Linked DNA regions of Notamacropus eugenii. The protein of the gene in region 2 purifies or fractionates together with the protein of the main gene of each other region. This does not show direct contact. Links are inferred from orthologs where the notes say so. Each region holds a gene or a part of one and is shown on either strand. Other genes may lie near its edges.

Region 1 (7,505 bases), about 170 Mb from region 2:
TAACTGCTGTTCTAGATGAGCAAACCTGATCAAATCAGGTACTACATGTAAAGCACTTTGCAAACTTCATAGTGCTATATAAATGTTAGCCATTATTATTCACCAGAAATACTACCTATTTCTGTGAATAGCTGGAACTGCGAAAATGGAAGGGGGAGAGGCCTACCTTCAGATGGATGCTCAAAGCCACAGTCCACAATAGCCCTCAGAAGCTCTGGCTTCAGAAGGAAATCCCTGAAGCCCGAGCTATGAATGGAGACATAGGAGCCCTTCACATCCTTCTTGGCAGGCGTAGGTGTGCTCTCTGTCATGGGCTGGGGCTCCTCATCCTCTTCATAATCAAGCAGTTCATTCTCCACATCTTGTTCAGCCATTCTGCCCTGAGGAGAAAAGAAAGATGTAGCTGGTTCATCACAGATGGCAGGAAGAAGGGCAGTACCTGCTTTTCCAGGCCACTGACAGAGAGAGGACAGGGGTCAACCAAGTGCTAAGTACAAAAAGACAAAAACACAGATCCCCCTCAATCCCTGGACACATCAAGAGTCCAAAAGTCCTTTTGCACTGTCTGTACTAGAGATTCTAACTCCTCAAATCAAAGCTGGAAGCCAGCAAGCACCATGAATCTTGCCCTCCTCATGGCCATTTCTGCCTAGCAAACTATCTTATCAGACAACCAACATATTTGAATACTTGTGTTCAATACCCATCTGCAGTAGGCACGGAGTGGAATAAGTACCAGGGAGACTCAGCAGTGGAAAACTCACAAGCCAGTTAAGACAAGACCACACATTCTAGAGGCATAAGGTAAAAAATAAAGTTCACTACTAGGGATGGGCAGATTGCTGCTATAGAGCCCCAACTTAAAACTGCTCTTTCTCCCTCTATTTGGGGCTCATACTACACCACCCTTAGTTAGAATGCTTTTATTAAAAAGCCTCCTGCCAAGATGTAGATCTATACCAGCATACAGATCATAATACCTACTTCTATCACCTAAGCTTCTTAATTAGGTTAATATAGCCTGAAAAGAAGAATCCGATTAAAAGGCAGTACTTATTTTAATCCATGCGTTAAAATGTATTTATGACAAAACCTTGTAGTTAAAAGAAAATTTAAGCCAAATATTCTCTGCCACAGAACTTGGGAACTTCAAATCCACAAACATAGAGGAAGACAAAGACAGGATGAATCAGGTGCCTTCTTTCCTTGGACTCCAAAACACCGTCTTTTTGCTTGATTAAAACATCCAACAAAACTTTTAGCAATGCTTTCCCATCCAATACCAAAAAAATCTACTGTTAACCATCTACATGTTAACCATCTTTGGGACCCCCAAAATAAAGCTTAAAAATGTTCTTCCTGTCACCAAGAACATTTATGATATCACGTCTTCTCTCTCCTGATATTCAGTCTCAAGTTATTTAAAAGTTTGTGTGCCTCAGAATACTAGCTACAGATTGCTGGCTCTCACCCTTAAGAAGCTCACACCTGGAACCAGGTGCTCAGGTAAAGAATTAATAATTTATGAGCACCTAATGAATATGTAATTTAAGCTAGCAATTATAACTTTAAACAAAAACAGGAAAAATTTAGAAAAGTCAGTAAGCACACAGGCCTTTCCACTCTCTTTCCAACCTGTATTAACCTGTGTAGCTGTCCCATAAAGGCCATGGAATTCATGGACACACCGAGTTTTTCTTAACTTTTAATTTCTAGTTCCACATTCTTTCCCTCTCTCCATCCCTTCTGAATTCCTAAGAATACGCTAAAAAATATTTTTTCATGTTCATTTACAAAAGCCTCTGTACAAGTTTACTAGACTGAGTCTACTCCAGAAAAGACTGTTAAAATCCATCCTTTTCAGTGAACTTGTCACTACCTTGAAAAGATTTCCTTTAAACTGTCACCCACCAAAATATTTCCTGTAGCAGCGTGGAAGCAAAAGACTCCAAACCTAGGCCAGCGGGGCGAAAAATCTGACAAGTTATGGAGAAAATACTTAGGAGAGTCTCGGACGCTGGCAACCGCCTAAGTCCAAAGAGCGGATTTATGGGCCAGGGTGGTCCTGGAGGGGCGGATTTTTTCAGTCGGAACTGACTACGCCTTCTGTGAGAAGTGGGGTGCCTGTGGCAGTGGTGAGGGCACCCACATTCAGGAAATCCTGTATGCCTAAACTAATTAGGGAGAGAGAGGAGTGGGGACCGTGGGAGCGAGGGCGCAGTCAGAGGACAGACACGTCCCGGGAGGCTCCGCCAAAGCTTGTGCAGGAGGGGGATCCCCACCAAAGCACAAATTTGAGGGGTTCCCTCTCGGGGACATTCTCGTAAAGTACAAATACGGGAGACTCCCTCCAGGGCACACGGGTGTCCCCTGCGTGGACAGGCGTGGGCGGCGGGCTCCCGATGACCCTCAGACAAATGCTCTGGGGCCCCCCGGCTTGGATCTCGGGGTGCAGACCACAGCTGCGGGGGCAGTCTCCCACGTATTTCATGAGCGAAGGGCGTCCCCGCCGCCGGGCTCCCCAGGCCTCCCGCCCCACGCGGGCCGCGCGCCTTCCGCAGCCCGGCGCCCCAACGGTCGGGCGGCCCGGAGGTGGCATGCGCGCGCCACCTGCCCCGGCCGCGGCTCCGCCCCCGCCCTTGCCCGGCCCGCGGCAGCGCGCGATGAGCTTCCCTGTCCTCCCCGGGGCCTGCGCCATCTCAGCCTCGCCGCGTGCCTGCCGCTTCAGCGTCAACTCCGCAGGCCTTTCCCGGCCCGTCATCTCCAGCGCGCCCAGGACCTCGCGGCCTGCGGCCCCCTCCTCCGCCCCTTACCTCTGAGCTGAGCGCTTGCCTCCGGCTGCCTACACGCGCTCCCAAAGCCAAGAGTTAACTCAGGAGAGGTGTCGCGTTCGAGTGGAAACCGCCTCCCCTACTTCCTTCTCTTCCTGCTAAAATTGGCGCACCACCTCCAAACTTCCCGGCTAACTTGCCTTGTTCACTGGGCTGTCAGCCTTTCACTCAGAAGGGAGCAAGCTCTGATTGGTTGATTGGTCTCGGCCGCGCAACCTATAGAGGGAGAGGGGACGGTCCCAATGTTTCATTGGGCAAAGTCTGCGTCGATCCCGGCGAAAGTCCTTCTGAGTGGTTTAATTAATTCCAAGGGGCCGTCTCGAGATGGGACCATATGACCAGGCCTGGCGAATACCTAGGTGCTACCATACTTACTAATGGCAAGATCATCTAGTGAAGCCAGCCTAGAGCGTTGTGCATTGTGGGTAAAAGGCCGGAACTCCTGTGGATCGCCCTCCTGTGGAGCTCTACTGTCTTCCAGTGCTTCTTAGGGTGTGATAGGGAAGTCAGGCTCCCCAGGTTCCAATCCCAGCCTATCCATAACTACCAATTGTAACTAACAATTCTGGCACCGAGGTCAAGCCCCACAAAACACGCCCAGGTGCTCCCCGGTCAAATTTTGAAAATAAATTCGGCTATTGAGGTGGGGGAGAGGAGTCCTCAGCACCTAAGGCGGGGGAAAATGCAGGAGGGGTCGGGGAGAAGGACCTAAGAGACTCTGTAGACGGGTCAGAGATTCTGGAAAAGCCAGGCGAGGCCAGAGAGGGTGTCCAGGGAGTCCAGGAAGAGCTCCCTAGGATGTTAGCTTATTTTACCTAATTATTCCTGCTATTTAGGCGCTAAGCCAGGTTCTTTCTACCTGGTCCAGGTGCTCTACGATCCGACAACACTTGAAATGAAGCTCTCTCGCTACCCCGTTCCTTTTCCAAATCCATGCCTTCTCACTGTCTTTCTCTTATACCTGAAATGCAATCCCTCTGGTTTCTTTCTGAAATCCCACCACATCCAAGGGATATTTCACAGTATTTCACCCCTCCCTTTGAGTTCATTCCCTGTCATCTATTATGGCTATATCTGGTATTCCTCTCCTAGATCACTGCTGTATTGTGGTAGGTGACTTTGGAAGGTCAGGGAAACTGAGCTATGCCATGCAGGGTTACCCAAGACGGACTGGTCATAGTGAAGAGTTCTGACCAAAGCTCAGTTCTCCAATTCTCACTGGAGAAGGAAATGGCAAGCCACGCCATTAACTCCATAGACTATATTAAAAAGGATAAAGGATATCACACGGGAAGATGAGCCCTTCCGGTGGGCAGCCAACAGTTACTGAGAGAGCCCAGGACAACTACAAGTAGATGCAGTAACTAATGAAGCCATTGGGCCAAAGCCAAAAGGAAGCTCAGTTGCAGATGTGTCTGATGACGAGAGGGAAGTCCAGTGCTATAAAAATCATTATTACATAGAAACCTGGAATGTAAGATCTATGAACTAAAGTAAGCCAGATGTGGTCACACAGAACATGAAAAGATCAAACATCGACCCATTGGGTAAAAGGGGGATGGCAGAGGATGCAATAGATGGTGTCATGGAGGTAATGAACTTGAGTTTGGACAGACTTCAGGAGGTAGACTTCAGGGGTGCTATGGTCCATGGAGTAACAAAGAATCAGATGTGACTGAACAGCACAACAGATATCTTGTATTTACATCATTACTTGTATGTTGTCTTCTCCACTGGAACAAGAACTGCATGAGGGCAAGGATTGAGTTTTTAACCTTTCTTTGTATGCCTTGTGCTTCATAAACACTTAATAAATGCTTATACACTGACTTGGAGCTCTGGAAAAGGGGGACAATTACAATGAGCTCTCCCTAAGTTTCTGAGTCTAAGGACAATGCCGCAAGCAGCTTACTCTGGTTCATTCTAGGTGTAAGGGGTAGCCAGGAGATGGATCATCCTATCTATGGAATAGCAAATAGGTCAGGTCAACTAGATGGCAAAATGCATAGCAGGGAATAATGTGTAAAATGGCTGGAAAGGCAAAAAGAGGCCAAGGTGTGAGGCTCTTGAAAAGTGAAATATAGGAATTTATATTCACTGTAGGTACTAGAGTTTAATGGGGGTGGGAGGGATATAACATGATCAACCAAAAGACTCCATTCACTCCTTCATCAGTCCCCGCTTCAAAGGAACTCACTCAATACATTATGTATTAGATGCCTGCTGTATATTCACACTTATAACCAAAGGTTTGCCAGTGGAAAAGAATTCTTTCAGCTACAGCAAATCAAGAAAAATGTGGAAGGATTAGCATATTTTGTATTTATATCACAATTATGTCCCTGCTAGAAATGAGAGGAGGAAGGGGATAAGCATTTCTATAGCACCTACTATGTTCCTTCCAGACACTGTGCTAAAAATATTACATCATTTGATCCTTACAACAACCCTGCTGGTCAGGTGCTGTTATTATCACTATTTGAAGAAACTGAGGCAGACAAAAGTTAAGTGACTTTCCCAGGATCACACAGCCAGACCTAATGCTCTAGCCACTGCATCACCTATATGCCTCAGGGACATTATGAAAGGATTCTTGCTCAGAGATAGGTTGGGTTAGGTGATTGCTAAGGTCCTTTCCAACTCTGATACTCTGTTGTTTACTGAACACCAGCTATGGCAAAGAAAGGTCTGTGTTTGAGAAAAAGCATCACTGCTCTTTGGGAACTTGTCTTACTGGAAAAATGTCACCTATGGTGACAGAACTGGTATGTGGTAGCCGAGCTCCTCTGACTTCAGATCTGGCTAAGGCTGTGTCACATTGACATTTAACTCAATCCTACTGAAAAAGCAAAGATTAAATACTACCTGTACTTATTAGAGAGTCATCATGGTATAGTGGGAAGAGTGCTGGGCTTAGAGTCAGCTCAAATCTGAGTTCAAATCTGACCTTAGACCCTGGTCAAGTCACTTAACTTCCATTTGTTTCAGTTTTACACAACTTTAAAATGGGGATAATAATGGCCCTTACCTCCCAAGGTGATTATGATAATTATAAAGTACTTAACACAGTGCTTGGTACATAGTAAGCACCATATAAGTATTAGCTAGTAGTAATAATAGTAGTAGTAGTAGTAGTAGTAGTGGTAATAGTGGTAATAGAGAGCTGACCTTGAAATCAGAAAGTCCTGGCTGTGACCTAAACTGGTTGAATGACTTTGAGTGAGTCTTTTAAATTTGTCAAGGCTCCAGGTAACTCTCTGTGATGATAAGTCTCAGAGAAGGTACTGACCTAAATTGGTTAGGAAGAGTTTCCTTACCTGGGAGTTCCCTAAACCAATGAAATCACAGGTCTAGTCTTTATTCCTATGTTGGGTTTTTTTTTTTAAGAGAGCCAGCCTTGTCCAGTAGATGGAGAGCCACCAGCCTTGGAGTCAAGAATAGTTAGTTAGTGTTTATATAGCACTTTAAGGCTTGTAAAGCCCTTAATATACATATATATGTGTGTATGTATGTGTGTACGTGTATGTATGTATGTACATGTATACATATAATATAAAAAATTTCATTTGATCTTCATGGTGACTCTATGAAGTAAGTACTATCATTATCCTCATCTTACAAATAAGGAAAACTTGAGCCTGAAGATATTAAGTGACTTGCTCAAGGTCTTCCATCTAGTAAATGTCTTGGGCAGGATTTGAACTCAGACCTTCCTAACTCCCAGTTCGGTTCTTTAAAGAAGAGCTAGGTTTGAATTCTGCCTCTTACACATACTAGTTGTCTGACTTATAGGGCCCTGGACAGCTCTCTCAGATTGTAAGTTATAGATTGTTGCTTATCTGTATTGACCAGGTATTCCTTTCTGGGGTAGAGAGCCTTTGACCTTGAAACCCCATGTGGCCTTCTAGATCCTTGAGTTGTGACCTTTTGACTGAGTCCAAGTTTTACAGAACAAATTCTTTTATTAAGGGGATTTGTTCTGTGAAATTTGGATTCAGTCAAAAGGCTGCACTCAAGGACCTAGAGGGTCCCATATGGCCTTGAGGCTCCAGGTTCCCCACCCCTTTGAGACCGGGTGTAGTCACATCAATGAAAACCTCACAGGTCTGTCCAGAAAAGCACTTCTGTATGCTACAAGGCACTGTTATCAGTATAAGGACTGCAAAGACTAAGTAAAGGCATGTTCTTGGTCTTAGGTGTCATTCCAGTCTAATACGATTACAGTATATTAGCAAATTAGTATAACAGGAAATCTAAACATGTGTGGGACAAAGAAGTAATTCAAAGTTCTTTTAAAAATTTTTTTTGATTTATTTTGTTAAATATTTTATCCCGATTACATGTAAAGACAATTTTTTTGCATTTTTTAATATTATTTTTGGTGATTTTTACAATTTTAAACTTAAGTACAAAATAAGAAAAGAAACAAATTTAAATACAAAATAAGAAAAAAATTGACGTGCACAGCAGAATGTATGAAAGGATTCAAAATATAAAGCAATTAATTTCCATTTCAATAAAACCTATATAATATAAATAGTACACATTTTGTTTAGAGCTGTCCATCTTTACTTCCTTGCAAGTTTTATTTTGTTTTCTGCAATGTACTTTTTGTTTTGTTCTTTTTTCCCCTTCCTCCTTCCCAAGAAGGTTACAATTAAGCAAAGATACACA
Region 2 (7,207 bases):
TTTTTAGTTCAGTCATGCAAACAGGTCTGAAGTCACCTAAATACTTTATCATCTGGCCTATACGTCTCCATCTTATCCACCAGGAGAGTATGAGAAACTGTCAAATACATTGCTAAAATCTAAATAAATTACATTTAAACATTCCCTGAATTTTCCAGGCTAATTACCTGTCTAAAAAGGAAATGAGGCTAAAATGGCATGCCCTGTTCTTGCTGAAGCTACACTCACTCTTTGTGAACATTACTTTCTTTTTCAGGCGTTCACTAACCATCTTTATAATAATATATGTCTAGAATTTTGCCAGGAGTCAAGGTCAAACAATGGCCTATAGTTTGCAGCTTCCTTCATCCCTTTCTTGAAAGGGTATTTGCCCTTCTCCATTTCTGTAGCATCTCTTCTATTCTCCAAGATCGGTTTTAAAGTGGGTTTTATTGATTTTTATACATCACAGTCATTCCTGAATGATTAACTCTCTTTCCCTTCCACTGAACCCTTCCCTATAACAAACAATTAAGCAAAAACAAATGAAAGTCACCATGGCTGACAGCGTATAACATTCTGTACCAAGATGCTCTCTATCTCTTTACTTCTCTTTGTTTTCAGCTCTCTAGGAGCCATTTTTGTTTTGTCCTTTCCAATCCACACACCATTCTCCTTGACAAAGAAAACAAAAGCAAATTAAATGTTGGATAGCCCTTATTCCTCTGTCATCATCACCATCATTCTATCTCTTCTTAATAGTAATACTGCCATGGGAGGATACAACAGACCACCTAAACAGAAGGAGCAAGTAAATGAGTTTGGGAAATAGGTCAAAGCTGGGTATTGACACATAATACAGTAGTGATGACAGACTTCAATTATCAGTTCATCTTCCAGCTGTCTCTCTTGATGTCCAAAAGAAAAAAAGTTAATAAATTACTGACCAATCAAAATGTAGAAGCAACAAGGTACTGGACTTGAATCTAACCAACAAGGAGTTTGCTGAAACAGAAATGAGGGCAACTTTGTAGGTGGATATCCCTGCATCTCAGAATTTCTCCTAAGGAAACAGAAAGCTTATCATAATTTCATATGAACCTTAGATTTTGAGAAGCCAAACTTCAGAATTCAGAAAGTGAATGCCCTTACCTAAAATTCTATGGAGAAAGCTCAGAAGGGATTTAAAAACAAAATGCTGAAGACACAAAGAGAAAAGATTGCAATGAAGAGAGAAAAGAATTGTCTAAAAAGCCTGTGTGGATTCACAGGAAAATAACCAATCAACCAAAATAATTGATTATATAAAATAATGACCTAGTCCCATAAGAATAAGATTAAAATACAGAATGAGTTATACTGTACATGTAAGTATATAAATAACATGCTAAGGACTACAAAATGGGTTTTTAAAAAATTATGTTGAGAAAAAGAGGAGGCTCGAATAAGGGAAAGGATCATTGGTTAGGGTAGATAAGATGATGTCACAAAATCACAGAATTTGAGAGCTGGGACATGTAGTCCACTTGACAGCAGAAAATATGTCCTACAAAATGATCAGTCAGCCTCTGCTTGAAGACCTCTAAAGGAGATACACACCAGGTCTAGACAGTGAATATGATTAAGTGGTTCCTCTTAGAAGAACTACAAATGACTAGGGGATCGATTTTAAATAGTAACTTGGAAAAAAGAACGCATGGAAAATAACACCAATGTCATATCTACTATTTCCCCCCTCCCCCAAATCATTTTGCAAAGAAAACATCAGCATGTAAGGAAATTTATACAGTGACAGCATAAAGGATCAGTTTTTTTCTTTAGAGCTCCTACTTCTGCACCAATTTACATGACCATGTAATTAAGTATGTTAATTACTCAATCAAATCTTGTACAACAGGTATGAGTCATCTAACAGCATTAAACGAAGAAAATAGCTAAATAAGCAGTGGGATGGTGGGGGGAATCGCCCTAGTTTAGGTAGGTATAAGATCTGGGTTTGAGATCCTGATCCACCAGAGGGGACAATGAAGAAGTCGCTGAACCGACACCTCAGTGTCCTCACCTGCAAAGATACCTGTGGATCTTCCTCGGTGGAGGGAGTGTCCAGTAAAAAGAAAATTTGACATAATTGTACATACACAGGCGCCAAGTCCCGGGGGTGGGGGTGGGGGGTGGAGGGGGTGTGAGTGTGAAGCGCTGTCACGACGGAGCTAGGCGGAACACCTGCAGGTTTTTCCCAGCGGGCCCTCTCCACACCCACTCTCAGTCCACGAGGAGATCTCCCCCAGCACTTCCCCCGCGTCGTGCTGCAGCCTCTGCCCACTTCACACGTTATTTTGTGTCATGACCTGTCATGTCCCATCTACCCCCCGGCACCCAGCAGGGTGCCTCAGGACACAGCAGACGCTTCACACTTTTGGAAGTCGGAATTTACCCTTGATTTTAGCCAAAAGCGAAAGGAAGGCAAACGAACCGCCGAGCTCACGATCGACGCTGGCGCGGGGCGGACGCGAGCTGTGGGGTTCTCAGACGCAGCACGTTTAAGTGACAGCCCCCCACCCCAGCCCTCAACTGTCTTCCCTCCTCAGGCACAGGCTGACCACCCACCCGCCCCCGGCGCCAGCGCTTTCCCGCCTCTACCCTCAATGGGGAGGCGGCGGAGGAGCTCTGCGTGGGGAACCAGGTGTGGCGAGAGTCGCGAGGGACACGCGGGGAGTGGGAATGCTGCCGCGGTTGGGGAGGCAGAGACGCGCGCGCTGAAGGGCCAGGTAGCCTGCCCCTCCCCCCAAAAAACCAGTAGAGAACGCCGCTGTGTACACACGTCCCCTGCTCTGGGTTCCTCCCCGTGGGAGAGCCGGTGTACCACGGAGAAGGCAGAGGAGAGAAAGGGGAAAAAGTGGTTTTCGGCCACCCCCTCCGCTTCCTACATCTCACCGTAAACCGAGTCTGTGCTTCGGGGAAACTGAAGAGAGGCGGCGACGGAGACATCTTCTCGCTTGCGCGTGCCCGCTAACGCGCCGTGGCGCCCCCTGATGACGCAGGGTCCCAGGCACACAGCGAGCTCCTTTGCGCGGCTAGAGCGGCACCGGGCGGTTGTGTGGGACGCATGCGCCGTCGGCGGAGGGGGCGGAGCTCTGGCGGAGGGGCCGGTATCGCTGCGCCGGCCGCAGAAGGAAGGAGGTGTTTCCGTGTTCTGCCAGCGGTGGTGGCGCGAGGGCTGTGCTCGCCCCGGAACACCTGGTGGTTGTGCGGATCCTGTCCGTTGGTATCGAGCGGGATTCGGAGAAAAGGTGTCTCCCTCTCGCGTTAGCACCTCAGTGATCCCTGTGGCGCGAGGCCCGCCCCCTTCCTCTCCAGAGCCCCGTTCGCCGCCGGAGAGCTCGGACGCGGTCCGGGCCGGAGCAAAAGTGGGCGAATCCCCCCTCCGGCCCACCCTTGTCGCGCTTCCTGAAGGGGCGACCCTGCTGCTCCCCTCTTGTCCCCGCTGCCCCTTTGTCCGTTGAGCTCGCCGTCCACCCTGAGGCCTCCCTAGGGCATAGAAGTGACCCGACCCGGGCTCTCGAAGTCGTCCCTAAAGCCCGTCCCCCGGGGGGCGCTAACAAGCCGGGAAAGCTTGGATTCGAATGAAGCCCCCAGCCTGCCTCTCCTTGGAGGGCCTCGTCACCGGAGGGACCCCCGAGAGATGGAGTTGGGGTCGTAGCTACTGCCGGTCCGCCAAGGCGTAGCTTGGGTGCAGTGCCAGCACCGGGGAGATCGTAGGTCCGGGGAGCTGTTGCTGGGCCGTTTGGCGCTTGGGGTGGGGGTGGGGGGTACGTTGGTCCTCTTTTTTCCTTGAATTCTCTCTTTCCTGTTGCTTCAGGAGACCAAGGGTGAGCGGGTTTGGAGTCAACAGGAAAAAGGACAGGGGGGTATTTTGTTTGCAGTCATCCGACAAGTCTGTGGTGACCAGATGTTTCTATTTCAGTGATTTAAAAAAAAAATTTGATGTGTTTTTATGTCTTAGTTACTTCCCAGTAAGCGGCTCTCCTTCCACCTCACCCTGTGGTGCCATCATTCCCTTAAAAAAAGTTAAGCAAAGAGCAAAACCATCTAATGTAACAGCCTGACCTAAAGCACATTTAAATGCTCATTCTGGCAAATGAATTGCTGGAAGGATTTACAAAAGAGGTTACAGGTGCCATAGCAGAGTTATGAAGATAAGAATTGAGGAGGGTGTGGATTCTTTCCATATTTTGCAGCATTTTTTTGAAGTCTTTTAAGTTGTTCATCTTAATTTGGTGTATGATGTCTAGTGTCCTATTTTTTCCTATCAGTCTTTGAAACAGCAGTTTATTTTTTCTTTAAAAATTTGCTGAACTGCTCTTTTAATTTTTCTTCCAAAACATTTTAGCCTAGCCTCCCATGGCTCCCCCTCCCCCACTATCAGCTGAGAATCTGGCCTCATATTTTCTAGGGGACAAAAAATTGAAGACATTTGCTGCCTTCTCTCTCTTCTGTGCTCTGCTTCTTCACCCCTGTCTCACATAATGAAGGAGCCTTACTAAAGGACTTACCAAAGGCAACACTTTAGTTGTTCAAGGGATCCCATTCCATTGTCTCCAACAGATTAATGTGCCCCCTCTGTCATCTCCACTCATATTTATTTTCAATCTCTCCTCTACTGCCTCATTTTCTTCTGCCTACAAACATCTCTCTGTCTCCCCTATCTTGAAAAAACCCTCACTGCTAATTACCATCCTATATCTCTTCTATCCTTTGTGGCTAAATTCCTAGAAAAGGCCTCTACTTTCACTTCTCTCTCTTCTTAACCCCTTACAATCTGGCATCTGATCTTATCATTACACTGAGACTACTCTTTCCAAAGTTACTAATCTCTTTATTTGACAAATCCAATGGCCTTTTGTCCATCTGCATTCTCTGTGACCTCTCTGCAGCCTTTGACATAGTTGATCACTCCTCATTGATACTGTTTTCTCTCTAGGTTTCCAGGACACTACCTATCTGGATCATCCTTCAGATCATGCCCTCTAATTGTGGAGATCCTTTAGAGTTCTGTCCTGGGCCCTCTTTTTTCTTTATATTACTTCGCTTGGTGATCTCATCAGCTCCCATGGGTTTAGTTATCTCATTGCTGATTCTCCAGTCTCCCATCACCAGCTGCCTTTCAGACATCTTAAACCAGATGTCCAGTAGACATCTTAAACTCAGTATGTCCAAGACAAATCTCATTGATCCTCTGCTACCTCCTACCTTCCATATTCTTGTGCAGGCTAACAACATTGTCCCAATCCCTCTGGCTTTGCAACCTAGGAGTCATCTTGTAGTCCTGTCACTCATTTCATCTCTCCCCCCAACTCCCCCACTACACACACCATATCAAATCTGTTGCCAAAGCCTGTTGGTTTCACTTTTGGAACATCTCTCAAATATACCCTCTTCCTTCTTCTGACATTGTCACCACTAGTACAGGAGCTCATCATCTCACACCTTGATTATTACAATAGCCTGCTGGTAAGTTGGCCTGCCTCAAGTCTCTCCCCACTCCAATCCATCCTCTATTCAACTACTAAAGTGATTTTCTTAAAACACAGTTCTGATCATGTCACTCCTCTTCAATAAATTATTAGTGACTCCTTATTGCCTCCAAGAGCAAAAACAAAATGTTCGGTTTGGCATTCAAAGCCCTTCATAACCTATCCCCCTTCTCTCTTCTTATAACGTACTCTCCTGCATATATTCTTTGATCCAGCAACACTGGGCTCTTGGTTGTTCTGATGAACAAAATGCTCCGTTTTTGTGGCTACAGGCACTCTCTTTAGCTGTCCCTCATGCCTGAAATGCTCTCACTTCTCATGTCCACCCACTAACCTCCCTGACTTCTTTTTAAGTCTCACCTAAAATCCCATCTTCTCCAGGGACCCTTCTCCAACCACTCTTAATTCCAGTGCCTTCACTCTGTTAATTATTTCTTATTTATCTCATATATAGATTGCTTTGTATGTATCTGTTTGCATGTTGGCTTTCCCATTACACTGTAAGTTCTTTGAGGGCAGGGATTGTCTTTTGCCTTTTTTTAGTACCCTGCCAGGGCTTAGCTGGACACAGAGTTGTTGTTCATCCTTCATTTTCAAATAGGGCCAGTGACATCATTGGGTGATGAGTTGTTTGAGCAAGTTAGGTTAAAGTGAAGACAGAGTTGCACAAAGTCATCAGCCTCACTCTCTCTTCCAGAGTCATCTAAGTCAAGTGGCAAGACAGAAGTCAACACAACTGGCAACAGCTCAGGATACAGTGGCATGTGCAGTGCCTAACTAAACTCTCAGCCCTCCACAGCACCTGCTGTAACCATCTTCCTGTCCCTGTTGAGATAAATTATTCTCATCTACCCATTCACATGCTTGGAGTAGATGTCCTCCTAACTCACCAACAGGTGTGAAGCCTTTTGGTTACTCTCACCCTGGTTTTGTCCATCTGCTGAGACACTTTTACCAGGGTGTGGGCAGTGTACCGTGCTATAGCATTTTGGAGTCACAGTGAGAGCTGAGTCGCAGGTGGACCCCAAAGGTGGATAAGCAGCCCTGAAAAGGGCCCAGCAAGCCCTCACACTAGAGGTGCTAGTGGAAGAATAAACTCAATGCAAATTGATTGATAGATTGATTGTAAGGAGATCTCACTAAGTAGGAGAGTGGAGAGAAAATTAATATAAAAGCATCAGTTTTTTTAAAAGGCTAAAGAGTTTGGTTAAGAAGTAGCCCCTTGTCTTACATGGAGTTTTATTACTGTTAATGGTTAAATTCATAATAAAAATTGTTTTAGAAAAAATTGTCTCACATTAGGAAATTATATGATTTTGTTTCATTGCCTGAGGTACCTTAAGTATGATACAGCTTCTTTGTCTTTCCCATTACTTTCTCCTTTGAGAATTTGAATTCAGCTGTGTCTCAAATCCTGACAGCCACTCCCGATTTTCTGGCATTTGCTAAAGAATTGTAAATTTTATTGCAACCTCTTGTTCTAAATCTGTATTTGACCTTATGCTTTAGGTGTGTTTCCTGTAGGCAACGTACTGTAGGGTCATACTTTTAAAATCCTCTTTGTAGGGGAATTGAATTCAGTTACATTAAATATTATTATTGTTTGATTTTTAGTCAAACATATCCTATTATTTGTTTTATGTATTTCACTAGTGTTAATCTAATTCTAGCCTTTGCCCTCATGCATACACCTC

The links. The genes of interacting proteins can lie anywhere in the genome.
Region 1: the proteins of THOC1 (region 2) and DDX39A purify together in Homo sapiens (affinity purification with mass spectrometry; 3 studies listed by BioGRID and IntAct, with this or other methods). This does not show direct contact. The link is inferred for Notamacropus eugenii from reciprocal best matches to the Homo sapiens genes THOC1 and DDX39A.

Annotation. Positions count from the first base shown.
Region 1 is NC_092875.1:76,522,840-76,530,344, reverse strand, and holds the start of DDX39A (ATP-dependent RNA helicase DDX39A), read right to left. Parts: upstream 3,002-7,505; 5' UTR 2,814-3,001; intron 1,972-2,813; exon of another isoform or gene 1,880-1,971; intron 381-1,879; 5' UTR 375-380; coding exon 167-374; intron 1-166. UniProt on the Homo sapiens protein: Helicase that plays an essential role in mRNA export and is involved in multiple steps in RNA metabolism including alternative splicing. Regulates nuclear mRNA export to the cytoplasm through association with ECD.
Region 2 is NC_092875.1:244,524,530-244,531,736, reverse strand, and holds the start of THOC1 (THO complex subunit 1), read right to left. Parts: upstream 3,012-7,207; 5' UTR 2,968-3,011; coding exon 2,914-2,967; intron 1-2,913. UniProt on the Homo sapiens protein: Component of the THO subcomplex of the TREX complex which is thought to couple mRNA transcription, processing and nuclear export, and which specifically associates with spliced mRNA and not with unspliced pre-mRNA.